7 linked regions of the Solanum lycopersicum genome follow. The main gene of each other region encodes a partner of the protein of the gene in region 4 in a complex. Links are inferred from orthologs where the notes say so. Each region holds a gene or a part of one and is shown on either strand. Other genes may lie near its edges. The genes, in order: photosynthetic NDH subunit of lumenal location 3, chloroplastic; NAD(P)H-quinone oxidoreductase subunit O, chloroplastic; ORR; NAD(P)H-quinone oxidoreductase subunit S, chloroplastic; photosynthetic NDH subunit of subcomplex B 1, chloroplastic; photosynthetic NDH subunit of subcomplex B 5, chloroplastic; photosynthetic NDH subunit of lumenal location 1, chloroplastic.

Region 1 (4,556 bases), on a different chromosome or scaffold from region 4:
AAACATGAAGGGGATGTAGCTCAGATGGTAGAGCGCTCGCTTAGCATGCGAGAGGTACGGGGATCGATACCCCGCATCTCCATTTTAATTTTTTTCGATAATATTTCATTATATTTGAATTTTGTTAAAACGGTATATTTATCTTTGTTTGGTAATATTTCATCATATTTGAATTTTGCTAAAACGGTATAGTTATCTTTATTTGATAATATTTCATTATGTTTGAATTTTGCTAAAACATTATAATTATCTTTGTGTGATCTATAAGTCACATGTTCGAACCTGAAATAAGTCTTGGATTATGGCCCTTCCCCCGTTCCACGGGTCATGTATAAAAATTTTGCTACGATGGTACGGTATAGTTATCTTTGTTTGGTAATATTTCATTATGTTTGAATGCTGCTAAAAAGTTATAGTTATCTTTGTTTGACCTATTAGTTACATGTTCGAACCTGAAATAAGTCTTGGATTGTAATCCTTCCATCGTTCCATAGGTCATGTATGGACTCGAGATGCTTCATGCACCGAGTTGTCTCTATTATAAAAATGTGGAAATCAAATTGAATCTCCATCAAAGTGTTATTGACAATTCCAAAATTTACGAAGGAACATTTTGTCTTCTTGTAGTCAAAATGACTAATTAACAGAATATAATTAAAACATATGTTTTGTTTATGCCATTCTGTCCATGACTTGTTGGAGAATAGTAGTTGTTTCTTGATAACATGATTGTGTTTGAGGCAGGTTCTTTTTCTTCACAGCATCTTCAAGCTGCATAAAAAAAAATATTGGAGCAAACACATGATCAAAAACTTTGCTATTTATAATTACGTTGTTCAGACTTTTCAAAAATATTGACGGTCACCAATCATAATGTGTGTCGTATTCTACAAAATCTATACATTTTTGTAAGGATCCGACAATATTTTTGAAGTGTCAGAGGAACACAACACCAGACTTATATTGCTCGGACTTCAATAATATTGCCAGAGCATGTGCTAAGATTTTTGGAGGATCTGATACGAGCACAACAATATTTTTGGAGGGTCCGATCAATATTGTATCAGACATATGTTGCTCAGACTCTTCAATAATATTGTCACAGTTTTTGTGTGTAAGATTTTGGAGGATTCCACATGGGCACAACAGTATTTTTGGAGGATTCGACCAACATAGTTATCAAACCTATGTCGCTCGGATTCTTCAAAAGTGCTTCTATATATGTCCGTCAATCGAGGATCCTCCAAAAGCTATGCAATGGATCCGACATAACAGGTACAACAACATTTTTAGATGGTCCAATTAACATAACATCAAGCCTATATATGTGTATATATATTGCTCAGACTCTTCAAAAACACTATTGACATCACATTGTGTACCGCATCCTCAAGAAAACATGCATTTTTCAAGGATGTGACACTGATACGACAAAATTTTTGTAGGGTTTAACCAAACTAATATCAATCATATATTGCTCAGACTCTTCAAATCTATATATATTTTTTGAACACATTTGGGACAATATTTTTGAAGGATACGAGCAACATATAATATCAGACAAATAAAATCAAATGTACCTTCTCAACGTTATCAAATAATCGATTAGCAAGATCAGTGAGAGGTTGCTTATCATTCACTTGTGCAGCTGTGATAACTTCATCAAAATCATAATACATAAATGTAGATTTAATCCTCAAATATTTCCTCACATAATTCCAAGAATCTGTTCCAATCAAATCCCCTAATGCCAATAAATCAAATGCATATCTTTTCAACCTATGAATTCTCCCTTTTGTTCCAATATTAGCAATGTACATTCCTTTCTTAAGAAATGATCTTGTACCTGTCTCCTTGTTTATAATATCTACAATCAAATATTACAAAAACTTTTATCTAACATATTAAAATTATGGACGATCGACTCGATTCTTGATATCTTAAACTTAAATGCGCGAAAAAAGCTCAATTTTTTACCCTTTGACACCAAATGGGGTCCGACATCACTACAAGAAAACTGTAAATTACATAATACGGATAGGCGTATAGACTTTTTCTTCTTACGATCCTATCATTTCTGCTTCAGCGAAATATTCTGATTCGGCTAATTTCACACTTATCTATGAGCTATGATGGGGATTTTTCTGAGAATTAGTATGAAAATTTATAGGAAAATAAGTTTATGGTGAATTTTTATACTAATTCCAAGGAAAATCCCCATGTATTCACAGCTTTTTCGTAGTGTATAAAGGTAATTTTACATCGAATTCAAATTTTTTTACTCGAATAATTTGGACATGTGGGGTTCACCCATTTCATATTCGTGCTATACATGAACTTTGTTAATGTAGTCTGGTACATAAAACATTTCGCATTAGATGAATTGGGAATATCTATAAATGCAAGTGTTAGTGGCTGTTAAACGCGACGTGATAAAAAAAAATATAGAAAATAAAAACTTACTGGTGGATATTGAAGGGTCTTGTAGTGGACCAGTAATAAAAAATCCATTATTATCTTCAGCAAGTGAAATATCAATTCTTGAATTTGCAAATAAAGCAATTGAACCAATGCTTAATGCTAATCTTCTTGTAATTTTTGGTGGTGAATTTTCTTGAATTTCTTTATTTTTTTGGCTTATTGTTTTTGCTTTTTTCTGAATTTTTTCAATCTTGGGAATGAGGGGAAGAGCTTCAAATATAATGTTTAAATTTGTTGTGTTTGCCATAATTTTTTGGTGTTGAAACTATGAACAAAAATGATAGCCTATTTTTTGCACTTTCAAAAAAAGTTATAATATTATTATCCATTTGATGAAAATCTTGATGACTATTGGCCACTAGAAGGATATCTCAATTGAGGGTAAGATTGTAATTCTCCCCTCTTTTCTTTTCTTTTTTTCCTTTTTATGTTTTTCCCAAAATTATAAATTCCTATGATATTTTTATTTTTCGAATTTGTTACTTAAAATCTTAGCTCTGTCACTGACTTTCAACCTAATTATTTTGAAGAAAGAATCAAATACGAGTGAGCTGGATAATTTATCTATTTTACTTGACTCATTTTCAATCTCTTTGTATCTATAACTCGATTCTCCTATTTGTTACACTTGTATTTTTTTTATATGGTCAATGAACTAAGAACTTATTTAACTATACTTGTTTATGTCTTATATAAGCAAAGTGACATAAGTAAAGATTAATATATGAGTTTTGACTTATTTTTGTTATTTTGTCGTAGCATCAAGTGTTTAATATATGAGTTTTGACTTATTTTTGTTATTTTGTCGTAGCATCAAGTGTTTAAAAATACTTAATATTTTACATGAATGCTATGAAACTGTTTAAATACACCTAAAATAAGTCAATTAAAACATGTTCTAATAATTATTAGTATCTCATAAAGTCATATTTCTTCTTGATTCAATTTCCGTAACGGAATGTTCAAGGAAGAAATGACCGCACGTCGAGTAAATATGACCAAAGTCCATTTATTTGCTCTCTTTATTCTGTAGATACGCTCGTGGAAAGAAAAATCGGAATTGAAAATGTAGATTGATCAATTCCGCCCCGTTCGAGTAATCGTATTGCATATAATGAACTATAAGCCCAATGGGCTTCACTTACAGGCCCAAACTTCTTCTAAAACGGACCCATGCGAGCCCAAAATTTTCACGCATTTTGGGACCGAAGTTCAAATTACACACTCTCCGGCAAGTTCCTCCGGCGAAGTTCTTCTCCGACGAGCCAACTCCGGTCAAATCCTTTCCGGCGATAACACCGCTGTAAGTTCTAACTTATCTCACTTTCTATATATATTCCTTCTTCCATTGCTCTGTATTCATATACAGAAATGTTTAAATTCGATTTCAGATATAAAATTGACTAATTTAAAGAGTTAATGTTTCACAGTAGTAGTTTAAATTAGGTAGAAATCATGTTAAATTGAGTGAATTGTGTAAACTTGTTGGATTAGTATAGAAATATTATCAAATGATTAAGCTTTGTAGCAAAGACATTGAATTAGGGTGGGGATTTTGTGAATGATTGAGCTCTGCAGTGAAAGAAACTTAAGTACATTATAATCATTTTGATGGTCAATTTTCGGAAAAATTGACGTTTAAACTATCTTTGAACGGGAGGTGGAGCAAGGATTTGAACTTCATGGGTTTTGGATACGAAAGCATGGCCTCGAGTACTTGTAATTGGGTCATGAGTTTGATTTTTGTACATATGTAGTGATTTTAACAAATACACAAGGTTATGAATATAGTTATGCACTAGTTTTTTTCTTTTTTGAAGTTGATGTTCCTCCTTTTTTTCCCAACATGCTTTCTATATTATTTGATTGATATGTTTTCCTTGAGCCGAGGGTCTATTGAAAACAATCAAAGTCTGTATACACTGTACCTTCTCTAGACTCCACTTGTGGGATTTGGGATCAAAGCTACTGGTTCTGCCTTCTTGGAACAATAACGACTAATATGTTATTTGTCAAGCCATAATTATAAACTGACTTGTGTTTTCAGATTTGCTGTGTGCATATTGATCGTCCCA
Region 2 (3,771 bases), on a different chromosome or scaffold from region 4:
ACATCAGGAGTAAAGAGAGCTTGTTGCACAGAAAAACAGAGAATTGTATTTTTGAGTCAGCGGTTGGATTGTCAAACAGTTATAACCCAAGTTTGCGGAAATTATACCGGTCTATGCATGTACCAGTGCCCCGACCCCTTGCTTCGTTGACAGAGCTTATGAATGCTACTAAGCGTGCTAGGAGAAGGCTGTAAGTTCTGATTTTTCCTGGCATCATTTCTTCATTAATTTCTTCATTTCATTCTCCACCCTCATCGCTTTCAGATATTGATACCAAGTACAGCATTGTTTACAGAAAAAAATACAGATAACTTATACTCCATACCACCTGTTCTTCACCTTCCCTTTTTACAGGCTGCTGTACACTGAGACTTTCCAGTTACCTGCCTACTGTATATTGTGTGTACACTATAATTTTATGAAAAAATTAATGGTACATTGAGACGTACATTTCGATATTCATTTATAAACCGACTCCATTCTATTCAATATGGAAGGTATTTTGTGTTTAACTGATATCATATTTCAGTTCTATCCTTCCCAGACCCCACTTGTGGGATTACATTGGGTATGTTGCTGTTTATTTATATTTCAGTTGATCTAGAACGTCTCTTGATTGTTACTGGAAGCTGTCTTTTACCTACTGAATAGTCCAGGATTGTTATATTAAGCTTCTTAAGAATCAATTTAACGATTATTTAGTGTCAACTGAGAAGCTGATTGAGTGATCTTTAAGGAATAATAATATATTTAGCAATAAGTAAATTCTGGAGGTGTGTCCATCTCATCTCTCTTCATCTCTGATGAGCAGCGGTCAATCTGATGCTCCACTTTGATTTACTCGTCTGGCATGTACTGGTCTGTAACTGTGGACTCGCCACTATATTCTCTCGTAATCCAGCTTATCAGACTGCAAAATTTGTTATTGGTTAGGGAATGTGTGATTACGCAACAGACCACTTGCTTTTTAGCAAGGTGGAAACTGTATCATCAAATAAAGATACGATACTTGGGAGGATTGCTTAAGTTCATATAAGCAAACCACCAGTCCATTCCGGATACTTGGGAGGATTGCTTAAGTTCATATAAGCAACCCACCGGTCCATTCCCCAAACCTCCGTGCAGTTAATTGCTATGAGTTTGTCCAAAATAATTTTCACCAGAGATTCTCATTTGAAGTGCAAGGAGGTTTTTTTAATAGTGTACCATAAAAGGTACTCATGAAATGATGCAAATTGCTGCTTTAGTATTTTGAATGATTTCAAAAGGCTAATTACCTTAATTAGCATCTCTGTTGGAAGCCAAGCTGGTGCAGTTGGTATTCCGATCCATCCAATCTGCAGCATAGGTAAACTCTCAACTTTGATCTCTTTATATATTCAGTGAAATTTATGTTTCGAGGTGTGTTTTGATATAATAAATTGAATTTCGAAAAAAATATACTTACAAGTGCATATTCTCCTGTCTCGAATATACGAATATCCAATACCTAAACAGATATATGATTAGTTTATTTTATAAATAACATGTTGTTCCAAATTGTATTTTGTTATCCCTTTTGACATGATCTATAGAGAAATAAGAAAATGGTACCTCACCACGGTCTTCATATATGTAGTCCAGACCTTTGTAATAAGGTGGATGATCAACAGACAAATACTGAAGAAATTTATACAAAAATATACAGTCAAATTCCAGTGCAAGGGTGTCCACAACTTCCAATTCAGATTATTATCATCATTCATAAGCATGTAGAGGATACAATGCTGATTGGTAAAAAATTATAGTATATATATCTTTATTAAAGAAGTCCCACTAAATAGGTCTGAGAAGGTAGAGTGTACATAAACCTTATCATTACCTCGTGAAGTAGCAAAAAAAAACAAAACTCACATTGATGCTATTCAGATACTTCTCCTTTTCCACCCTGACTATCTGACCTTTCTTCACTGCCAACCAAAACAAAAAAGCTAAACTTCTATAAACAAAAAATTAGTGAAATTTGAGACATTTTCATGAAATAGTACTACTCACTAGAATAAACCGGTTTTTTAGGCTTTGTTGCGGTGGCTGTTGTACTAGAAGAAGTTGTTGTTGCTGCTGCTGCTTGAGATTTTGGCTTCTCATTATTTTCTTGTGGTTCAGATGAACTATTTTCTGCTTTAATAACAAAAGGGCTATAATTAATCCTATTTTTTCTTGTTTGTGAAAAAGATGATGAATATATGAAGGAGGTGTGTGAAAATGCAGCAGAGAAAGCCATCTCTATAGTTTTTTTTTTTTTTTTTTGGAGATATAACTAGTTTAGTTGTGGCCAATATAAGTAGATAAGGGCATGCCCTTTTTCCCCCTTCTTCAACGGCCAGATTTGAATAACAAAAATTAGTCTGCTAATAAATGGGATTACTCTATTCTCGGTTAAGGATTTCGAGTTTGAATACTGAATTTCGATGTCATTTTTGTTGAAAATTACTGTGGACGTCCGTTAGAACTTTTATCTATGGAGCCAATTGGTTGTCACGGTCAAAACGACCATTTTAAAGGTCAAACCATCTTTTTAGTGATCCAGAATTTTAACGTTATTTGCCGAAAATTAACATAGTTAAAACCTTATCTATGGGGCATATTGGCCACTACAGCTAAAAAGGACCCATTTTCAAGGTTAAACGAGTTTAGAGTAGGTAAACCCCCAATTTTGTCGAGTGTTCTGTGCTATAGTCTATGAAATTTTTGGTGAATAAGAACTCTGACGTCATATTTTCTGAATTAACATGGATGATTGTTAAGATCTTATCAATGGAGTCAGTTAGTCACCACGATCAAAACACCCCATTTTGAAGGTCAAACGATCCAGAGCAGGTAAACCCTCATTTTTTTCAATTTTTGTTTACAAGTAGGTAAAAAACAGATTTTATCGATTTTCGTATGACATAACCCATAAATTATTTTTACCCAAAAATTCAAAACAAAATGGTCGAATTTTTTCATGGACGTCCTTTAAAAACTTAGAAATAAAACTAGCTCGTCTCGTGGAGAAAAATGATGCATTTTTAAGTTCAAACGTGCCCAAAGCAGGCAAAGACATATTTTACCAATTTTTATGTGTTATATCACATGATTTTCTTTTTGATTCGGGAATATAAAAAAATGGCCAAATTCTTTTGACATCCGTTAAAACCATATAAATTGAACCAGTTCGTCCCGCAGGGAAAAATCGTGCATTTTCAAGTTCAACTGAACCCCAGAGCAAGAAATTTGATAAAATTTGTCTTTGTCTGCTTTGGAATTTGTTTAAACTTGAAAATGTGTCTTTTTTCCCCGCAGGACGAAGTGGTTCCATTTTAAGGTCTTAATGGTCGTCTATTAAATATGCGGTCATTTTGTTTTAGGATTTATGGATAAAAAATATTATGGGCTATAACACACTAAAATCGATAAAAACTACCTTTGCCTTCTTAGGGGCTCGTTTGAATTATAAAATACATCATTTTTCCCCGCGGGATGAACTCGTTTCATTCCTTAGCTCTTTACGGACGCCATGAAAAATTTTGGCCATATTGTTTGGAAATTTTTGGATTTAAAAAAATTCATGGGCTATGCACACAAAAATCGATAAGATATGTCTTTATCTATTTTAGGGTTCGTTTAAACTTGAAAATGCACAATTTTTCCATGCAGGACAAATTGATTCCATTTTAAGGTCTTAACGGACTTCCATGAGTAATTTCAGCCATTGTTTGGAAATTTCTGATGAAAAATATAACACATAAA
Region 3 (3,402 bases), on a different chromosome or scaffold from region 4:
GTTGCAACTTTTCTAAATAGTTGTAACTTTTCTGATAAGGCACAATAAACATTTCTCACGCTACTCTTTGTTTGTCTATAAATAGAGGGATTTTCTCTCCTTTTAAAAGAACGAAAATTCTGTCTCTCTTCTTCTTCTTTTTCACAATTAAATATTTGTGTACATTGCTCCGGTTAGTGACTCACTGCCACCATTGTTTATGTTACAGATTCTAGTATATATTTTTACAATCATTAATTTATACTTATGTTATTAAGATTAAATTATAAGATGTAATAATTTTCATTTTTTTTTACATTATCAATAGTTGTTCTTACATAATCTTGTATGTAAGATAATATAGTGTGTTAGTTTTAAAGTCTAGTAAGTTTTACATATTATTTTAAAATTTTTGTGGAAAAAAACGAATAATTTTATAATAAAGTAGGTTGAATATAGATGAGGTAAGCTTAAATATATGGAGTGGTGTAGATATAGGAAATCTCAAACAAATTTGAAGCTATTGCAATTTTGATTGGGGGTATTGATACAATGCTTAGATGATTAGGAATATGAAAACCACAGTATAAAATACCCTTTTGCCACCAATGATTAGGTAGATAACATTTGTATTGTGTATAATCCATTTGGGAAAAGTTCTCAAAACAGACAGAGAAGGTGAAAGTTTCTTATACATTGTTACAACTGCATTTTTTGCTACTCATTGTTTCAATATAGTCAACATTGTTACCTGAATTTACTGGTTTACATCTTCCATTTGTCCATTGTAATTGAACCCAACTCTTGGTTTCCCCATACTGAAGTTAAGAACTCTTGCATTCATGTTGTATTGGATTTCTCCATTATAGAGAAGTTTTCTTATGTAGTGCTCTATGTCTGAACCTATCAGGCGAAGCGTGTACTCCGTCAATGGAGCTCCCTGGTCCAGATCATAAAAAGTTATTGGAGTTAGCATTTCTATTTCTAATCCATTTGGTACAAGAGTGATTGCATGATTAAGCTTGTATTGATGAAGAGAAGTTTTCATTACCTCATAATGATCAACAAGTTCTTGGAAGTAAGAATAGACTTTGGTACAAGTATCATCAGTCCACACAAATTCATCAGTAGGGTCAAGAAGGAGTGTGAGTTTATCCATTTGTGTTTGATCGAAAGCAAAGGTTTCGGGATCAATATAAGCTGCATATATTCGAACATGTCTAGTAGCACTACTGAGCCATTGTCCTCCATGTTCTCTGGTCATGTTCTTGCTCTGCACATTTATTTGTGGTTCTACTGGCCTTGGCTTCTTCATTGCCCCCTCTTCTTGTTTTTCTTCTTCTTTCTTTTCTTCCTCTTTTTTTAGTTTTAACTCTTCAACTTCTGCTTGCTGTGCTGAAACTGAGAAGAAGTTTCTCCTTTTGAGTTGTTTATTCTTTCCCTTTGTGCTCCAACTTAACATGCTGAAATGGGTTGAAGCCATGTATGTTGAAGTTGCTGCCATGTTTCCCCCTTTCTCCTAGTGTTTTGTTATGTGTGATTTTTATGGCCTTTTCTTGAATGTTGGTATTGGGATATTAATATATCCTCCTTTTTGTGTGGATAGGAAATGTTTGCTTACATATGGCTTCTTTTTATTATCTTATATTTTTTTTGTTCTGTGGCTGTGCTTAATAAAAGGTTAATTACAAATTACTCACTTTGAGGTACTTAAATTACTTTCGTTTTTATCCCTGTTAAACCAGGTTTAAAGGTTTGGTTAATTAGTGAATCCGAGCCATGAAAGATAAGTATGCAGGGCGTTTCACTTATATAGACAAAACCAAAAAATTTAAGTTCAGAAGTTCGTATGGTGGTGGATCTATTAAAAACAATCTTTTTTATCCGTGTATTCATCACTACAAAAAAAGAATGCTTACCTGTCAAAAGTAAAATAAACATAACACCAGCTGATTGAATCTACAGGTTCATTATCACCTGTGATAAAGACTCAATAAGAGAGTTCAGATTGACTTGAAAATTGTTAAAGAACAAAAGTCAAACAGCTTCCAATAAAGACTTGTACATAGGGGATAAGATTTTCATTTCCTTTAATTCTCTCACTATAACAACAGTTTTCTTGTTCTATCTCACACAACAGATTTTGCGAAACAAAAAATATGCCTAATCCTAAGACCTATACCTAAGTAATTAACTAAAAGCCTAACAATAAAAAGAAAAAAAATTGCTCTGCACTAGCAGAACACTACATAAACCTAATTACACAACCTCATTTACAATGGTGAGGCTACTCTGATACATAGCTTGTGGTCATATCACTTGGGCTATCTATATAGGGAGATGAACCTACAGACCTATTCCTATTTATCAGACGCACGGGCTTAATAAGCTCATCGAGATCATCCAGTTGCATCTCTGCTGGACCACTCTCGCAAAGTGGCTTTTCCTCGCTTCTCTGATCAATAGTCTGTTCCTCTTCGTCACTACCATCTAGGCTAATAAAATCGACAAACTTCCCTTCAAGGAATATGTCATTATTCCCCTTGACAGAAGGCTTCTCTGATCCAGCTGTTATGCACTCAGAAATATGAATGTGCGGAGAGCCAAAGTAACGACCTCGACCATTCTTTAACTCGCTCAAAGCTTTCCTTTTCGCTCCCTTCCTTCTGTTCTTCGGATGGTGAAGCTTGCAGTTTGAACCTTTGGGACAGTTGCCAGTTGCTTCAAAAACGGGGCAGACATAGGTGTGTTTCTTCTGACACTGCATGTTTAGAAATATGACCCATTTCACAAGTTTCAAGATTAGAGTGTTGTGTGTTTGTGATGATCTACATCTATTGTAAAGAACATATTAAAATAATACTGAAATAGTTGCATTCAGAGAAAGAGGTGACATAATAGGTAAAAATACTTGGCAAAATCACCGGTTGAAAATATAGCTATATCAAGGAAGTCATTCCAAAAACAAAAAATGGCAAACAAGAAGAGGTAAGGGTCCCCACTACTTCATTCATGGGGAAGTGTGGAGACTAGCCTCATCAGTTATAACAAGTTTGGGATAGGGACAAGCTTGTCCAGGAACCAGGAATCAACCAAACATAAAACTGTGTGATAAACTAACCAAACATAAAACTGGGTGATAAACTAACTTCAGAAGACCTTCTTTGCCGATCATCCAAACACAGCTAAAAACTATTTCTACTTGGCACCATCTGGCATAAATTAGCTGTGAGCTATTAAAGAGCTTATCTAATTGGAATTTCAATCCATTGAGTATCATATAGTTGGTATTGATTAATCTGGAAGCAGAAAACAAACAAAAAATACCTCATTGCCATCAGCACAATAACCCCTGAGAAAACCTTCACAGATGGAAGCATTTGGATTCACATTTACATGTCTATATGGACAATTCTCATTTGA
Region 4 (3,183 bases):
AGACAGAGGACATAGTTTTTCGACGTCTGGCTTACATTTGGGTGATTTCTTTTGCATGTATGGTATAACTGACACAGTTTTCTGGAATTATAAGTGTATTCTGCAAATGACATCTTTAATTAATGATCATTAGACATTGGAGGCTAATGCGTGGATTGGCTTACTACCTTGATACTGAATGTAAACATTTGCAGACTATGCATTATAAAATTTTGGTCCATCTGTTTGAGAATCTGTCAAAATCTTGCAGTTTGCACCATTGTATACTCTCTCTCAGGCTAGCTATCATTATTGAACTTATCTACATCGATATCGACCTGTTGTCCAATTGGATGGAGTCTAAGATCCACCATATGTGGTGTCAGAGGTACCTCATGCTTGTGAAAAGTAAGAATTGTTTTATCACTCACTGTTAAATACTGTATGTTGTTGTTCTGCTAGACTCTCTCTTTGCTCGATAAAACGTGTGATATTTCAGATCCTCATTACTGATGGTATCTAATGATCTATGAATTGATCAGAAGAACATGCTAGGATTCATTACTTAAACAAAACTAGATCTTGTGCAATCATATTAAATATTTGACTATATGTTTTGCAAGTGGTTTGAATTACCTGATTCTTATTTTTTACGTTGTTTTTGTTAAGAGTTCTTTCGAACATCACTGCTAAGAGTTGAACTTCTCATTTGGGACAGAACTCTTCCTGCACAAAAGTTTTTCTGCATTTCTTATTACATGCCATTGCCATTACAAAACTTACAGCTTGTATGTACAACAACCCAAAAGACAAAAGAACAAACAATCTACTCAAAAACTGAAGCAATTCAAGCTTCAGAGCTCTTTTCTACCATCTTCTCAAGTATCACAGACTTAAGATTCACCATTGGCGGTCCTTTCTCTCTACGTTCGAGTTCTTCGAGCCTGAAAGATATCAACCTATCCCAGTTCCCACCTTCAAAAAGCACAGCAGCCTTACCATCAGTAATCCTCTGCACAATCCCACAATACATATAATATGGATTATTAGAATTCTTGACAATAGCAATCATCCCAGGTAACAAAAGTGGCAATTCAGGTGGCTTTGGTTTCTTCACAAGACTTTGATTAAAACCAGAAACCATACTTGATTCTGTTTTCTTGGGTGGTGGTGGTGGTGGATTTTTCTCTATAAATTTCATTAGACCCTTCTCACCTCCCGGAAATCCGCCAGTAAACCCCATCATTTCTTTCTCAAATCCGTCCTCCGGTATCTCCCCAGTCTCCTTGTTTTCTTGATTATCATCATCACTAGCTGCTGCTGCTGCTGATCCTACTGCCTTTTGTTCTTCGGAAATCGACTTTTTTAGCTCTTTCTCTATACCCTCTTCTCCATTACACAGACCTCTACCTCCAAGAATCTCATAAAGATTGAATTTTGCTATTGGTGTAACTGAGTTTGAAGATGATTTCATAGCTGATTTGGTATGAACACTACTACTGAGGTTGAGATTGACAGATTGACCAAGAAAGTTTGATTTTTTAAGAGGTGGGGTTTGAATTTGAAGGCTTGAGAGTTGAAAGGAAGAAGCAGAAGCCATGGTTTTGATTTTTTTTCAAGAACTTTGGATTTGGGAAAGATGATGGTAGAGGATGAGATGAGAAGTAGAAATGGGAAACTGTAATTTGTCCTTTCAAATTCTGACCACCAATCTGTTTTTGTTTTGATATCTTCTATTGACAAATGAAACACATGAATGATGTTATCTTCCTTGGAAAAAGATTAAACTTGCACTCATGTTTTACACCATCCTTTCAAAAAGAATCAGGACCACACGTGAGGAATTGCGTTAAAAGTAAATTATAATTTTTATATTCATTTATGAAATTACACGAGATATATTATGTTTTTCTTTAATAATTTAAGATTTTTTTAAAAAATGATCATATGATTTAACTTGATGATCAGAGTATATAGAGGTATTAGATTCGCGCTATGTTGCTATTTGTTATCAAAAGGAATTTCTAAAAGTCAGGACCACACATGTGAAAGGGGTCTTGTAGAAGATATAGTTGATTAAATAAGAGGGCGTTTGAATTGATTTAAAAGTCAGTTATTTTTATTTTTGGAAGTGTTCGATAAATATAAAAAATAACTTAGAGTAAGTAAAAAATGGCTTAAAATAAGTCAGAAAGTGTTTGACAAAGTTAAAAATAACTTTAAAATGACTTAAAATAAGTTTAAAATCAAAAGTAGGTCTTCCTCTGCCTTTTATTTTTTAACTTATAAATCATTTAAGTTTGACATTTTATTTTTGATTTAAAAGTTACTTTTTAAGTTCATCTAAATAGCCTCTAAAGTTGTTTTTTTAAAGACGTAATTTTTCACAAATTGCAAACATAAAAATCATATTTGTATGTTGTAAATATAGTTTGCATAATTGCGTTCCATAATAAATTTTATGTTTGCTATGGAGTTTTTGATTTGTATAATTCGCTAGATACATCCAATTTTATTCAGATTGTTCAGTTTTGTATAAATTCATTTATAAATTGTAATTTGTATAATAAGATCTAGATTTATATAATCATAAGTATATAGAACGAATATATATATATATATATGTGTGTGTATGTATGTATGTATGTATGTATGTATTTGTATATAATCTTTTCTCTCGTTTCATACAAACACAAACACATTTTATACATTCTATATCGAAATATATAAAATGTCTAATTATATATCGGAAATGACTAATTGTATAGCGAATCAGATTACAAAAGAATGGAATGTTTGTGACAAATTACAAACAAAATAAATCATAGCTATATTATTTAATTTGAATAACATATTTTGCTATTTCATACCATTTTTCTTTAATACATTATTAAACACAATTTAGAGATAATAAGTATTGATAAAAGGTGTATATAGTGTACACATTGAATTTGCATAAATTGGAGCGTAAATTATTCCTATCAATAGCCAGAATGGGGACGAAAAGAATTCTTTTTTGTCTCTATAGGATTCATTAAATATTTGATAATAAATTCAATAATTAATATATACTATTAATTTAAAATTATCGTAAAAATTAATGGACTTCAAATCTTACATCTACTTATGCGAATAAACAATTTCAATGTGAACTTCAAATCTTACATTTACTTGTGCGAATAAACAATATCATACATTGAATGT
Region 5 (4,579 bases), on a different chromosome or scaffold from region 4:
ACGTTTGATTTTATCAATTGTTTTCTAGATTATTATTATTTTAGATTAATAAATGAATTTTCAAGTACAATTTTTGTTTCATGAACATCTTCACATATTTTGATAAAGATCATAAAAAGGAAAGGAAAAGAAAAAGTGTAGCCTGTTTTATAAAAGAGGTTACCTTATAAGTCAAAATATTAGTGACATATCAAAGCTAGTTTAGTGAATAAAACAAAGCCTAAGAATTTACTTTTTTTTTCTCTTTTATGATCTCATTATCTCTTTTTCTATATATAATAATATTTTGTTTTTTCCTTTTGATCTCATTAATTGACTCTGTTTATAATCTTTACTTTTTTGACTTAATTGTTACACAATTTTGTGAAGTTCCTTTCCTTTTTCATGCATCTTTTTTTCTTCTTGATTGCATATTAAGCAATCGTTTTTAGGATAACTGTACTTGATTCTCCCTATGATGGAACAACAATATACATAATTTGTTATTTGCTAGCACTTTGTATTTTAATTAACACAAGTAGTATAACTCACGATTCTGACAACATAGATAGGATTTCTCCGTCTCAGACAGTAATGGAGCTAAAATTTTATCTAAGGGGTGTCAAAATCTAAAAAAATAAAATTATGTAAAAGCTAAGGAATATCAATATGTAATATATATATATATATATATATATATATTAAACCTAACTCAATTCAAAAAGCTAATTCAGGGCGATGTTTTTGAAAACGTTTTGGGGCGAGTTTCAGGGAGGGCCATATCGAAAATGCTCCAGGGCGTAAATGAAAGAAGTAAATTCATAAGGTGTAAGTCTTGAGCATAAAAAACGTAAGTTCTGGGCGTAAAACGTATATAGTGACGTTTTAATTTATTATTTAAAACTTTTTTTACTTTAAATTATATTTTTACTATTGGTGTAATAATATTTTTCAAATAGTAATTATAATATATTTTTCTTCATTATTGATTATTAATATTTATTGCAAATAAGAATTATAATCATTGAAAGATTTATTTTTATTTATTTTATTAGTAATAAAATTATAATATTAAATATACATGAGACTAAGCCTAGTAGACCCATGGGGCTTACGCCCCGTGTTCAGGGATTTACTCCTCGCCCTATACGATATAAATCACCTCACTTTTTAAAATATTGATTCAGAATACGAAAGAAATTCTAGTAAAAATTATTTTCTCTTTAAAATCAAATTTATGCAATTTAAATTAGTTAGATTATCAATATGGCTACCATACACTCGATTGAAAACAAAAACAAAAAATACTTTTTCATTCGTCATAATTTATATGATATTATTTAATTTAATATAAAATACAAATGATAGACATAAATTGAGACAAAAAATCGCTAATGACGAGGCAGGAACATAGTGACAACAATGGGGACCTACTTATCTCACTACCTTCACACATTGAAATCCAACGTCACCTTCTGCTATAGTTTTTAGCTATCCCCAAAAAAAGTTGCAGAATTTTATGATAACACTCAAATGGCTGCCTCTACTACTCTACTATCTAACTCCATTTCTCCTTTCTTTGCTAATCCACCTAATTTTCCTGTAACCCATGTCACAAATGTACCTTTCTTGAACCACAATCCATCTTTTCCCGCCAGAAAATCAGGGAATTTTTGCCTCAATGCCAAGAAAAAAAATCCATGGCTTGACCCTTTTGACTATGGTGATGATCCTGAAATGGAATATGGTTCACTTTTTTCTGAAGGGAAACAAGATGAAGATCCAAGGCCACCTGATAATCCTGATAACCCATATGGATTTCTCAAATTCCCAATGGGATACTCTGTTGAGATTGCTTCGTTGGGTTTGAAAATTAGAGGTGATGTTCGGAGATGTTGTTGTGTTATTGATGGTGGGGTTTATGAGAATTTGCTGTTCTTTCCAGTAATTCAGATGATTAAGGATAGGTACCCTGGTGTTCAAGTGGATATACTTGCAACAGCCAGGGGAAAACAGACATTTGAGATGAATAAAAATGTGAGGTGGGCTAATGCCTATGATCTGGATGATGATTTTCCTGAACCAGCTGAGTATACGGATATGCTTGGAATTCTTAAGGTTTCATGCCGTTCCATTAACATTAACATCGATTCATAATTATTTAAATTCTACGTTGCTTGGACTCTTCAAAAATGTTGATTTTAAAGTGCATTACTTTTGGAAGTATCCGACACACATTAATCTACGAGCAACATAGGTTTAAGCAAGTTGTTTCATTTGAAGTATGATTCTTGTCGTGCCTTGATGTATTAGCACCTAAAATTAGAGAAAGTAACAAACATTATATGGAAACTTAGTTAAATACGAAGATTTAACTATGGTTATCTTATGAGTTTGCAGATAATTCAAAAGTTGAGCAGACTACGTTTGGAAAAAGAATCGCTTAGATTAGCTTCAAGATGCTGTTCGTCTTGTTTAGTCAGATAGAGATAAAAGAATTTGCTTCCTGCATTATGAATAGAGAGTTATAGTCATTTTTTGGGCTAAGTTATTTGCTTTAATGCATGGTTTGTTGCAGAGTAGGTACTATGATATGATCTTGTCAACCAAACTGGCAGGGATTGGACATGCAGTATTTTTGTTTATGTCGACTGCTCGTGACAGAGTTAGCTACATTTACCCAAATGTGAATTCTGCAGGAGCAGGATTGTTTCTGTCAGAAACTTTTACACCAGAAAGCATGAACCTCTCCGAGGGCGGATATCATATGTAAGTAGATGTTCCAACTGATAACTTGATCTTTTTGACTACTGAATATTCATTTCAAAATAGGGAGTTTGAAAAGTGCAACAGTTGTACTTCGTCAAAGTTTGTATAAACATGTTTACATACACTTTTTTGAAATAGGTACCGTCAGATGGTTGATTGGTTGGGCAGACCAGCTCGTAAAGTACCTCGACAACCTTTACCCCCACTTAAAGTTTCAATCTCAAGAAAGGTTAGGGAGGTTGTAGAGGCAAAATATAAGAATGTTGGTGCACAGAAAGGCAAATATATTGTGATTCATGGGATTAAATCAGATTCAAAAGCTTCTATGCAGTCAAGGGGTGATATTGATAGCTTGCTCCCTATTGAGATTTGGGCTGAGATAGCAGAGGAGATAAGGTATAATGTCAGTATTTTATTCTCTGTCGGAAAAAGGGCCGACTCGACTACATGGTCATTTTTAGTTCTCGAATTAGCTGATTAGCCTTTTTTCATCAAATGCAAGAAAATTTGTGAGCTATACTAATGGTTTGTAAACTATCATTTGATCAGGGGAGTCAAGCCAGTTTTTGTCATTCCACACGAAAAAGAAAGAGAAAATGTGGAAGATGCAGTTGGTTACGATGCTAGTATAGTGTTCATAACCACCCCTGGACAGGTTTGTTTTCTCAACCACTTTCACAATATCAATGACCGATGATCAACCAGTGTTTAGTTGAACAACCATAAAAGAAGAAATTGGTTGGAGTCACAGATATAATGGCAACAATTTACAGTCATATTCAAGGAGGGTATAATCAAATGAAAGTAGTTTGCTTCTGTTGCATGTTTAGTGGCAGCTTTAACTATAGTCTATATACCGCGGGATGAGCACTAGAAAACTAACAGTCCCTGCATATTTCTCTGCCTTAGCTTGCTGCTCTTGTTGATGACTCTGCTGGAGTGATAGCTACAAATACAGCTGCGATACAACTTGCTCACGCACGTGGAAAACCAAGGTAATGTCATCTACTACAAGCTGTAGACGCGGAAATTTTTTGCACCTTCTGCTGTCTTTGTGGGGAGGTTGATATATCTTGGTTTTGTCTGTACAGTATTGGGCTATTCTGCTCTGAGGATAAGGCCAGAAGTTTTGTTCCCAATGCAGAAGCAAAGAAATGTGCAACTATTTCATCAAATACTGGAAAATTGGTTGATATTGATGTTGAAGCTGTGAAGAGTGCTGTTCAAATTTTCACCATGCCCCTAGCAATCTTCTAAATATTATACATCCTCCAGTTCTCTTACATATAGTAATTAAGTATTCCTGTAATTGTTACTAGTTCCATTTTCTTCTCAATTGTAATTAATAGAAGCGGAAATATATATATTCGTTCTTTTTTCTCAACAGAAAAGGAATATGGAGATATGTTATTTATCAATGTGACACTTTAGGACATTCTGATATCTATAAAGTTTTGCAAGATTGTATAAATATAAAGAAATATGATAGTTTTCACAATTTGCGATTTTCATGTTTCTAAGAAAAACACAAACTTAAAAAAATCTAAATGACATATCTAAAAGGAATTTCTAACTTCAAAATCAATCTGATTATGAATCATGATTTTGTATTATATATGCAAACAATAGTAAAAAGACTCAGCAGACGGATGGGCCACGAAAATGTGGAATCGGGTCCATATCATTGGCCCAATTTGTGCTCAATGTTTCAATTTTGAGAAAATTTCACAAATGGCAAAACACAACAATGGGCTATATAACTATAGTTTTGATAAATACGCTTTATATCTATATTTATGTTTGCTATAGAGGCTGTGCTTTGTATTTCACT
Region 6 (4,335 bases), on a different chromosome or scaffold from region 4:
TTACTTTCTCTATTTCAGTTTATGTGATATTTTTCATTTTTCAGAGTCAAATAGTTTAAGTATGATCGAAAATTTGCACGTACAATCTTTAATATTTTTCAAAATTTAAATTTATATATTTGTAAACTACGTTAAAAGTAATATAAGTCGTAATAATTGACAATTCAAAATAATTAAAAGATATATATAAAAATTTACGATCAAAGATAGACTTGTTTGAATCTCGAAATTCAAAAAGTGTCGCTTAAATTGGAACGGAAGTAGTACATAGAGCTAATTCAGTAGGTATATTTACACATACAACAAGCAATATCAGAACATTCATAAAAAATATTAGAAAAAAAAGCCAAATCATGTTAGTTATCACTCATCATTCAATCAAACTTTTCAACTCTTAAGTTCCTTCTTAATGTAACTTTAAACATCCTATGTACTTTGATTTATACAACTCTCATCGCAGTAGCGCAATCAGAATTTTTATTAAGGAAATTCAAAATATAAAGAATTGATAAAGGGATTTGACATATACTAATAAGAAATATATAACTTTGACCTTATATATACAGTGTAATTCTTCAGCTAGGGAGTTCATTAGAGTTTTTTTTTCATCTCAATGTAGTTAAGAAACATATAGTACAACCATGGAACAACACCAGATCATATGCATCTTCGAGTAATCGATGAAATCCAATGATCATTACGCGATTCATTTAGATACCTTAATGATATATTCAGAACATATGAATTCGTTGTTCTTTTTTATTTCTATCGTTTCATGATATCGTCCTTCTTAACAGTAAAATCCCATAAATCACCATATTTTTCGTTGAATTCCCAAATGTCCATTGTGTTATAATCCGATATTAACTTATCTCGCGCACCTCTCTCCATGTTATATATTTGAGGCTCGAAATTGTGTGCTTCACTTGGTTTGTCCATCTCAATGATACAGAACACAATTGTAAACACAGCTGCTCCAATGTACAAATACTCCCCCTGCATTGTCAAAGAAGTGAAAATACAAGACTTTTAGTTGCTGGAAACGGGTGTTTTCGAGCCTCGAAAAATGTGTAATATAGTAGAGATTTAGTCATTAACTTACAGGAACATTGAAGTACATTCCTGCAACTATTGCTGGAGGAAACAGCCATGAAATGATACCTATTGTCGAACACCAGAAAAATAAGTTATTTTAAGTAAATAACTAAAGAAGCACTCAAGGGTGTGCCCTAGTGGTCAATGAACTGGTTAAGAGTCACGAGGTCTCATCACGTTCAATTCTCAGCGAGAGAAGAAAAATTCTAGGTGATCCTTTCATTTGTCTTATCCACTGTGGATGAATAGAGTTTTTTTTTTCCACCCGATGTCCGGAGCTTACATTGGAATTACGACTAAATTCGAATCGCACATTGCAGGTCCTATATTTGAGGGTGACGCTCCCAACATGATTTTCTCAATAGATCATATCCAATACTCAAACCCGAGACCTGTGGTTAAGAGTGAAACACTCCCACCAGTGAACCACAATCGGTGTTGGTAGATGGATAGAGTTAGCTGATACTTGTTGCTGATGGAAAGTATTTCGTGAAATTAGTCAAAGTGCGAAAAGTAAATGACTAAGTTAATGATCATATTATTATGGTAATTTGTTACATACCTTGAAATCCTGTTGGGGGTGCAATAGCAGCATAATCTTCTGCTATGGATCCCCAAAATGATACTGAAAATGCAAGTGATATAGAATTAAGTATAGTTTAAGTATAAATACATTTACCTATTTTTGTAAAAATAGCTACTCAAATATTGTGTTTTTCGAAGAATTTGAACACGTGGAGTTCACCAATTTCACGTTGGACAAATATGAAACGATTTATTAAACGAAAAGTCGAACGAAGACTAACTTGATCGAATTCATATAATAATACATTGGACAAATTTAGATATTTTTCAATTCAAATTACAAATTAAATCGAAAAAAACACACACATATTGTTATGTACCTTTTTTATCTTCACTTTCAAAGTACGTATGATGATCATCGTATTTTCCAAAAACATAATCTTCCTGCAACAAATTAAAATAAAATAAAATTAGTTAACATGCGTCTGCCTTAAAATAAATCCGTCAAAATTTCAATAAAAAAAAAATTATTACATAAATATATAAATATGCCCTTCAATTTTGTTTCAGTTACATCTATATCCTCTTATTTTCGATGTACACAAATAGAGACTTATATAAAATTGAAAAAATAGATACATTTGTCAGTTAAAAAAAGCCAAGTTAAAAGGACATTTTGTATTATATCAAAATTATTCGATATCTATGTTGATGAAAGATATTAAACTTACTCAAACACTACAATTATTTAAAAACAACGAAGAAAAGAAAAGAAACATTACAATGTCAATGCCATTAGTTCTCCATCGATCAACAGGATCTTCGTTGATATCTGGTTCTATCTCTGTTAGTCCTGCATACAATCTTGTTGATGATCTAAATCCACCACATTTTGTACCAATTTTCGAGGAAATCGAACATGGATTTCCTCGAAAAAGAACACTCCATTTTGTTGAGAATACTGAATTGGGAACTGGAATTGTGGAGAGTAGTGAAAGTGTTAAAGAATTCTCCATTGTTGTTGAGTAGTGTTGCTCTGTTCTTGCTTGTTTACTCTATGTTTTCTAACTTTATTATCCATATATTTTGAATGGTTAAGGCTATACGTGGATAAGGCTATTATATATTATGGTTTTATATTTTTTTTTTAATATCTATTTAGTCTCTTATTGTGTTACCACAATTTCCGACCCCTTTTAACTTGATTTCATCTGACATCTATGTCTTTCAACTTTGATTGTAGATAAATCAACACTTAAATTTATATAACATTGAACAAACATAAACAGACGTACTACGTGATATAATGCACGTAGGACATTATATAGGATGCAAATTGTCACGTACGATGTCACATAGGATGTGTCTACTTGTTTAATTATATACATATTTATATGTCTGCTTGTAATTGTACATATCCAGAATTGGAGAACGTAAATGTCTATTTAAATGAGATTATTCAAAATGCTTTAAACAAAATAAATTAGCCTCTCTTAGCCATAAACCAGATTTTTTTTTTGCTTACCATTATAAAAATTATTTTAAAACTATTTTAAAAAAATATTTTCACCAATATTTCAAAATTTTAAATTTTTTTCCAACTTATGACAAAAATAAGGGAGAAAAAAGGAGGAAAATATCGACGACATTCATACAGAAATAATTATTTCAATAGGAAACTATTTAATTATAAGTAAGTTTAGGTTTAGCAAACATAAAAAATCATATTTGTATACTATAACTATAGTTTGTATAATTGCGGCCCATACCAAATTTTATACTTGCTATGGTACATTAAATCATTGGCAGCCTCTCGTTTGTATAAATCGTTGACAACCTCTAAATTCAATTTTATGTGTTTGTATATCTGCATAAAATTTGAATTTGTATACAATGTATCGAAATAAAACATTTGTATATCAAATCGCTCTCTCTCTCGAGTTATATAACACAAAGTATACATTGTAATTTGTGTTTATATAAAGCGAGAAAGAGAGAATGACAAAAGAGAACTTGTAGAGGAAATCTGTATTTGTATAATTATAAGTGTATATGACGAAATTATATGTATGTGTACATATAATTTTCTCCCGCTTTATACAAATACAAACACAATTTATTCATTTGCCTTTTGTATAAAGTGAGTGAGACGAGGGAGAGTGACGAGCAAGACCTGGGAGAGTGGCAAGCGAAATTCGTCGGGGAGAGAGGTGAATGACAATTGTTTGCTACGAGTTACAATTAAATCAAAGTATGATTATAACATTAATTTGAATTAATAATTTGATATTTTATATAATTTTTCCTTTAATTATTAAGCAACTGTACGTATACTGTATCTTTCTTTTATGTATATCCAAAATTCAATACAAAAGAACGACAATAATATTTTCATCTATCTAATCCATCTACCATGATATTAATACAAATTAAACGAATATGACCATGTAAATTCATTTCAAGTTTGAATCAAAGATCATAGATATAATAAGACTGTGTAGCTATAGTTTCAATAATTGCGCTTCATAATTATAATTTCATTTGCTATGGAGGTTGCGTTTATATATTTCGCTTGTTCGTTTGTATATTTCTCTTGCGAATATACAAACATGGTAAGTATATACAAATGGAGGTCATAGTTTGTATATTTTACTTGCGAATATACAAACAAATTAAGTATATACAAATTTTGTATTGATATATTTAGAATTTTTT
Region 7 (3,958 bases), on a different chromosome or scaffold from region 4:
TAATTCAGAGAGAAAAATCAAGAGAACTTATACTCGCAAATACCAATGAAAAACTGTGTTTCATCATATTTTATAGGCATAATACATATATTGGACCCTAAACTTGACTTCAAATTTTGACTTTGACCTCCAACTTTAATAGTGCACAAATAGACACTTAAACTATCATACCATTAAATAAATAAACACACGATTTTTGGAGACAAAGAGAGTGAAATGCAAATGCTCCCACGTATATTAGTGAGCCACTCAATGACTGCCAACTAATTAAATATTTTATGCGTCCATTTTAGAATTTAAAAAAAATTTAAATGAATTTTGATTTGGAAATATAAAAAAATATATAAAAGGGATTCATTAATGGTGGAGTTGTTATTTCAGCATTTTTTTACCATTGTGGACCTCAAAAATTACTACTCCTAACTCGCACAAAATACATGCACATTACATGTTTGCCAGGTACGACTCGCGTGTTTATTTATTAAAGGGTTAGATAATTGAAGTGTTTGTTTGTTTACTATGAACGTTGGAGGTCAAAGTTAAAATTTGAAACCAAGATTAGATATGTATCATGCCGTACTTTATTTGTGCTTTATTTTCCATCACTTTAAAATTTGTCGTTAACACTTCACCGCTTCAACTACAAGGGGATTTCAGTTACTTATGGGATAGCCAGAAACATTCTTTGTACTGTAATTCAATAAACAAATTGCAAATCCTGTTTCATGGAACAAGACTCTATCATTGCAGCTCTTAGAACAATTCTAAATGTCCAACACCTGAAATGAATCAGCCACCACTTTAAGTTTGTTGCGGAATTTTCTCCATCGCCTTTCATTCGCTCCCACGATTAATGTGTAGTATCTCCCTGTACGAAATGTCTTAATACGAATGCAGAAAAATGTAATGTACAGTTAAAGGAAACAAACCAGATCACTTACCATTTGCAATTGCTATAGTAGCAAATGCTGCCCGCGAAAAATTTGGAGATGTCAATACATATTCAAAGGTGAAATAGTTTTTCCCATCCGTAGTTCTCTACATAATTTTGAACAAAAATATGGTGACTAATTGAAAAAGAGCTACGTATATTGTACAATCAAGAGAATAAGAAAGGATCATACCTCCTTCATTTCCATTATATTTGCCACCTGATTCGGTGCAGAGTAAACATGTTTTACCAGATCGGGCACAACCTTTAGGAAAGTAGAAATAAGTTGGTATGACGAAGAAAATACATGTCTTTTTTATATTTTTCTCCTCCTTGATAGCTTAATAAAAAACGGCTACATAGATGAATAGTACCGCGATTTACCTCTTGCATTGGCCCCAAATCATGGATATCTGTTTTATCAGTTGGTATAAAACTAAGTCTTACATTTTGCAGTTGTAGATACCTATCTTTAAATGCAGAATCATGACCTCTGAAATCGAATTCCTGTACATACATCCAAAGTCAAAATGAGAGTTTACTAATTTCTAAAAATTCATTTCTTAAAAAAAAAAGAAGCAACATACCCTCCAATCTGATGGATAGTAATACGAATAACCATCTCGTTTGTCAACAAAGATTTCATAGTTCTCCGGTACTCCTGCATACACGTCATTTAATTATAAAAAGTAAAAAGTTTAGAGAATAAAAATTATAGTAACAGAGTACCTTGAGCTAGAAGGGGAGTCGCGGGTAATAATAAACCCAACGAAAGAGCCCCTGCTCCTAATAGATATGACCTTCTCATCAAGCATCCTGAAACAGAGATACTAGTAGAATTTTACCACGGAGAAAATGGCGTAAATGCAAACATGACTTCATAATTGATCGATATGAAATTTTCTTACTCTGTTGATTAGGGGACGTGTTTTCTGATGCCGAACATGTAATAATGTTGTGTAAGCCATGCCTATTCAAATTGTTGGCTGCTGGTGATGGAAGCCCAAGATTCAATGAGAGTGAAGTAGCTGCCATTTTTGTGGACAAAAATCACTAGATTTTTGCTTAACATGTTTATTTTTTCTCCTAATACAATCACTTTTTTTTCCATCATTTTTTCTTGCTCAATAGGATAAGATGCAAATTAAATGTGAGGATGACCTTTCCTGCCAAGGTCCAAATGGGCTTTTATGTCTCTTTCAACTACAACTAAATGAGCTGTGCTTCATATGTGGGGCTAAAATTTGACTATATCCACATTGATAATTTTTACTAATTGTTCTTGCAAATTTTTCACAAGTTTACCATGTCATAAATATCTGTATGTAACAACAGCACAAACTTGAATCCTTGATGGATGAGGCGGATCTAATGTATTGATACCGAGTTTATCTGAACTCAGTACTTTTAATGCGAAATATAAATTTATGTGTAAAAATTCATCAAAATTGCAATAGATAGTAAATGTAAACTTATAACTTAAAAATTAATGGGTTGATCAATGCTAAAAACCTTAACAATTGACTTCGAAGAATTTAAGATAATGATACTTTAACAACTCGACCATATGAAATGTGATATCAAATGCACCCATGTTGATGTGGAAAAACCAAGCACAGGTTCTTTCAATCACTGTATAGCACAAGCTATTTGAAAGGAAATCCAACTGGCGATGCATCAATGATCAATTTACATCCTAGCGTGGAGGTATTCATCAACTGTGTAAATGCAACGCCAAATATAATTGAAGAATGATCAAAGGGTACCAGGGGTGGAGTACGCCATGTTAATGTACCTTGGATGATCCAAATCTCAGTGTATGCGTCTAAAGTTTCAATCCTGAAATACAATATACAGGAAAGGAAAAATAGCAAGCAAACAATAATATTTGTATTTGAATTAATACTAAGGTTACAATCTTTATAAAATATCTCAAAAAGATATTTAATCCCCTGATTCTTCTCTTCACAGATGTTATTGATTTGGCGGAATACTTGCGGCTCAACCCTTGGAGCGAAGACTTCTTTATATGCTGAAAAGCAATTATGTATTCCTGTGTATATGTATTTTTTTTTGTCCTTTTGGTCAGAAGAATACCTCTTTATATAGGCTTGAGTTAGGGCTTTAGGGTATTTTGGTCTGAGCAATTTTGATCCCTGGGCCTGAAGAACATGAGTTGGGCTCATCTTGTCAACTTAATGGAATGATCCAAATGATTTGGACTTGATTTAAGTCATACAATTTTGGCTTAGATATTAATTAGACTTTATCAACCAGTAATTTGACTTGGTCAACATATGGTGATTTAAGATTTAATCCAAATGTAATATGGATTTATCAATAAAACTTCAGTGTTTACAAATGCCCCTACTTTGAGGCTTGTTGAGGTGCTTGATTTGTCGAACTTGTAAAGACAAGCCTTGAAGTATTTGTGAAGCAAATGTTTTTTTTATCGTAGTTGATCTTTCACGAGACATTTGAAGCTTCATGAGAGATGACCATGTCGATATGTTAAGGTCAACATTTACCATAGTCTTTATTACAATATTTTCTAATTTGTAAGAGGTCATTTGAATTTCAGTTGTTTATCAACTCATTTTCAACTTGAAATGTTTCAAGCTGATGAGACTTATCGCATGACATTTCTTCATGGTGTGGTAATTTCATTTGGGTCATCAACTACGAAATGACCACCAATTCAATGAGCAAGGATTGCGTCTACAAGCTTGACTTGGTGATATAGACCTTGTGATTTCAACGCAATTTTTAGGCTTTTACTTGAATAGAATGCAAAGAATTCAAATTCTCATGACGCGAGTCTATTCTCATTCAGACATATTTATTCATGTAGTTTCTGAGAAAATTTTACCATAATTTGGTTTCTATGAGATTTCCATAGCTCGACTTCCTTGAAAAATTTTCATAATTTGATTCTTATGAAAACTTGCCATAATTTATTTTTTATGGAATTTCCATTACTCGACTTCTTTGGAAAATTTTCATAATTTGATCTTTATGAAAACTTGC

The links.
Region 1: NAD(P)H-quinone oxidoreductase subunit S, chloroplastic (region 4) and photosynthetic NDH subunit of lumenal location 3, chloroplastic share a complex: the UniProt entries of both Arabidopsis thaliana proteins name them as parts of the chloroplast NDH complex. The link is inferred for Solanum lycopersicum from reciprocal best matches to the Arabidopsis thaliana genes NdhS and PnsL3.
Region 2: NAD(P)H-quinone oxidoreductase subunit S, chloroplastic (region 4) and NAD(P)H-quinone oxidoreductase subunit O, chloroplastic share a complex: the UniProt entries of both Arabidopsis thaliana proteins name them as parts of the chloroplast NDH complex. The link is inferred for Solanum lycopersicum from reciprocal best matches to the Arabidopsis thaliana genes NdhS and NdhO.
Region 3: NAD(P)H-quinone oxidoreductase subunit S, chloroplastic (region 4) and ORR share a complex: the UniProt entries of both Arabidopsis thaliana proteins name them as parts of the chloroplast NDH complex. The link is inferred for Solanum lycopersicum from reciprocal best matches to the Arabidopsis thaliana genes NdhS and NdhM.
Region 5: NAD(P)H-quinone oxidoreductase subunit S, chloroplastic (region 4) and photosynthetic NDH subunit of subcomplex B 1, chloroplastic share a complex: the UniProt entries of both Arabidopsis thaliana proteins name them as parts of the chloroplast NDH complex. The link is inferred for Solanum lycopersicum from reciprocal best matches to the Arabidopsis thaliana genes NdhS and PnsB1.
Region 6: NAD(P)H-quinone oxidoreductase subunit S, chloroplastic (region 4) and photosynthetic NDH subunit of subcomplex B 5, chloroplastic share a complex: the UniProt entries of both Arabidopsis thaliana proteins name them as parts of the chloroplast NDH complex. The link is inferred for Solanum lycopersicum from reciprocal best matches to the Arabidopsis thaliana genes NdhS and PnsB5.
Region 7: NAD(P)H-quinone oxidoreductase subunit S, chloroplastic (region 4) and photosynthetic NDH subunit of lumenal location 1, chloroplastic share a complex: the UniProt entries of both Arabidopsis thaliana proteins name them as parts of the chloroplast NDH complex. The link is inferred for Solanum lycopersicum from reciprocal best matches to the Arabidopsis thaliana genes NdhS and PnsL1.

The regions. Positions count from the first base shown.
Region 1 is NC_090809.1:1,367,199-1,371,754, reverse strand, and holds photosynthetic NDH subunit of lumenal location 3, chloroplastic, read right to left. Parts: upstream 2,811-4,556; 5' UTR 2,729-2,810; coding exon 2,464-2,728; intron 1,868-2,463; coding exon 1,581-1,867; intron 772-1,580; coding exon 673-771; 3' UTR 517-672; downstream 1-516. UniProt on the Arabidopsis thaliana protein: NDH shuttles electrons from NAD(P)H:plastoquinone, via FMN and iron-sulfur (Fe-S) centers, to quinones in the photosynthetic chain and possibly in a chloroplast respiratory chain.
Region 2 is NC_090810.1:1,415,161-1,418,931, forward strand, and holds NAD(P)H-quinone oxidoreductase subunit O, chloroplastic, read right to left. Parts: upstream 2,361-3,771; 5' UTR 2,264-2,360; coding exon 2,035-2,263; intron 1,971-2,034; coding exon 1,894-1,970; coding exon of another isoform or gene 1,862-1,893; intron 1,660-1,861; coding exon 1,594-1,659; intron 1,490-1,593; coding exon 1,448-1,489; intron 1,338-1,447; coding exon 1,278-1,337; intron 911-1,277; coding exon 881-910; 3' UTR 635-880; downstream 1-634. Other genes in the region: uncharacterized protein, read left to right, coding at 1-194. UniProt on the Arabidopsis thaliana protein: NDH shuttles electrons from NAD(P)H:plastoquinone, via FMN and iron-sulfur (Fe-S) centers, to quinones in the photosynthetic chain and possibly in a chloroplast respiratory chain.
Region 3 is NC_090803.1:56,432,320-56,435,721, forward strand, and holds ORR (NAD(P)H-quinone oxidoreductase subunit M, chloroplastic), read right to left. Parts: upstream 1,594-3,402; 5' UTR 1,484-1,593; coding exon 1,031-1,483; intron 920-1,030; coding exon 737-919; 3' UTR 577-736; downstream 1-576. Other genes in the region: uncharacterized protein At1g21580, read right to left, coding at 2,267-2,740, 3,307-3,402. UniProt on the Arabidopsis thaliana protein: NDH shuttles electrons from NAD(P)H:plastoquinone, via FMN and iron-sulfur (Fe-S) centers, to quinones in the photosynthetic chain and possibly in a chloroplast respiratory chain.
Region 4 is NC_090807.1:67,427,263-67,430,445, forward strand, and holds NAD(P)H-quinone oxidoreductase subunit S, chloroplastic, read right to left. Parts: upstream 1,580-3,183; coding exon 827-1,579; 3' UTR 703-826; downstream 1-702. UniProt on the Arabidopsis thaliana protein: NDH shuttles electrons from NAD(P)H:plastoquinone, via FMN and iron-sulfur (Fe-S) centers, to quinones in the photosynthetic chain and possibly in a chloroplast respiratory chain.
Region 5 is NC_090802.1:62,985,308-62,989,886, reverse strand, and holds photosynthetic NDH subunit of subcomplex B 1, chloroplastic, read left to right. Parts: upstream 1-1,388; 5' UTR 1,389-1,512; coding exon 1,513-2,097; intron 2,098-2,557; coding exon 2,558-2,748; intron 2,749-2,886; coding exon 2,887-3,144; intron 3,145-3,297; coding exon 3,298-3,403; intron 3,404-3,657; coding exon 3,658-3,743; intron 3,744-3,839; coding exon 3,840-4,005; 3' UTR 4,006-4,139; downstream 4,140-4,579. UniProt on the Arabidopsis thaliana protein: NDH shuttles electrons from NAD(P)H:plastoquinone, via FMN and iron-sulfur (Fe-S) centers, to quinones in the photosynthetic chain and possibly in a chloroplast respiratory chain.
Region 6 is NC_090808.1:66,330,314-66,334,648, reverse strand, and holds photosynthetic NDH subunit of subcomplex B 5, chloroplastic, read right to left. Parts: upstream 2,730-4,335; 5' UTR 2,637-2,729; coding exon 2,403-2,636; intron 2,065-2,402; coding exon 2,001-2,064; intron 1,721-2,000; coding exon 1,658-1,720; intron 1,162-1,657; coding exon 1,103-1,161; intron 997-1,102; coding exon 766-996; 3' UTR 525-765; downstream 1-524. UniProt on the Arabidopsis thaliana protein: NDH shuttles electrons from NAD(P)H:plastoquinone, via FMN and iron-sulfur (Fe-S) centers, to quinones in the photosynthetic chain and possibly in a chloroplast respiratory chain.
Region 7 is NC_090809.1:53,936,331-53,940,288, reverse strand, and holds photosynthetic NDH subunit of lumenal location 1, chloroplastic, read right to left. Parts: upstream 2,114-3,958; 5' UTR 1,967-2,113; coding exon 1,840-1,966; intron 1,762-1,839; exon of another isoform or gene 1,748-1,761; coding exon 1,661-1,747; intron 1,593-1,660; coding exon 1,519-1,592; intron 1,439-1,518; coding exon 1,316-1,438; intron 1,197-1,315; coding exon 1,125-1,196; intron 1,039-1,124; coding exon 942-1,038; intron 869-941; coding exon 765-868; 3' UTR 559-764; downstream 1-558. UniProt on the Arabidopsis thaliana protein: NDH shuttles electrons from NAD(P)H:plastoquinone, via FMN and iron-sulfur (Fe-S) centers, to quinones in the photosynthetic chain and possibly in a chloroplast respiratory chain.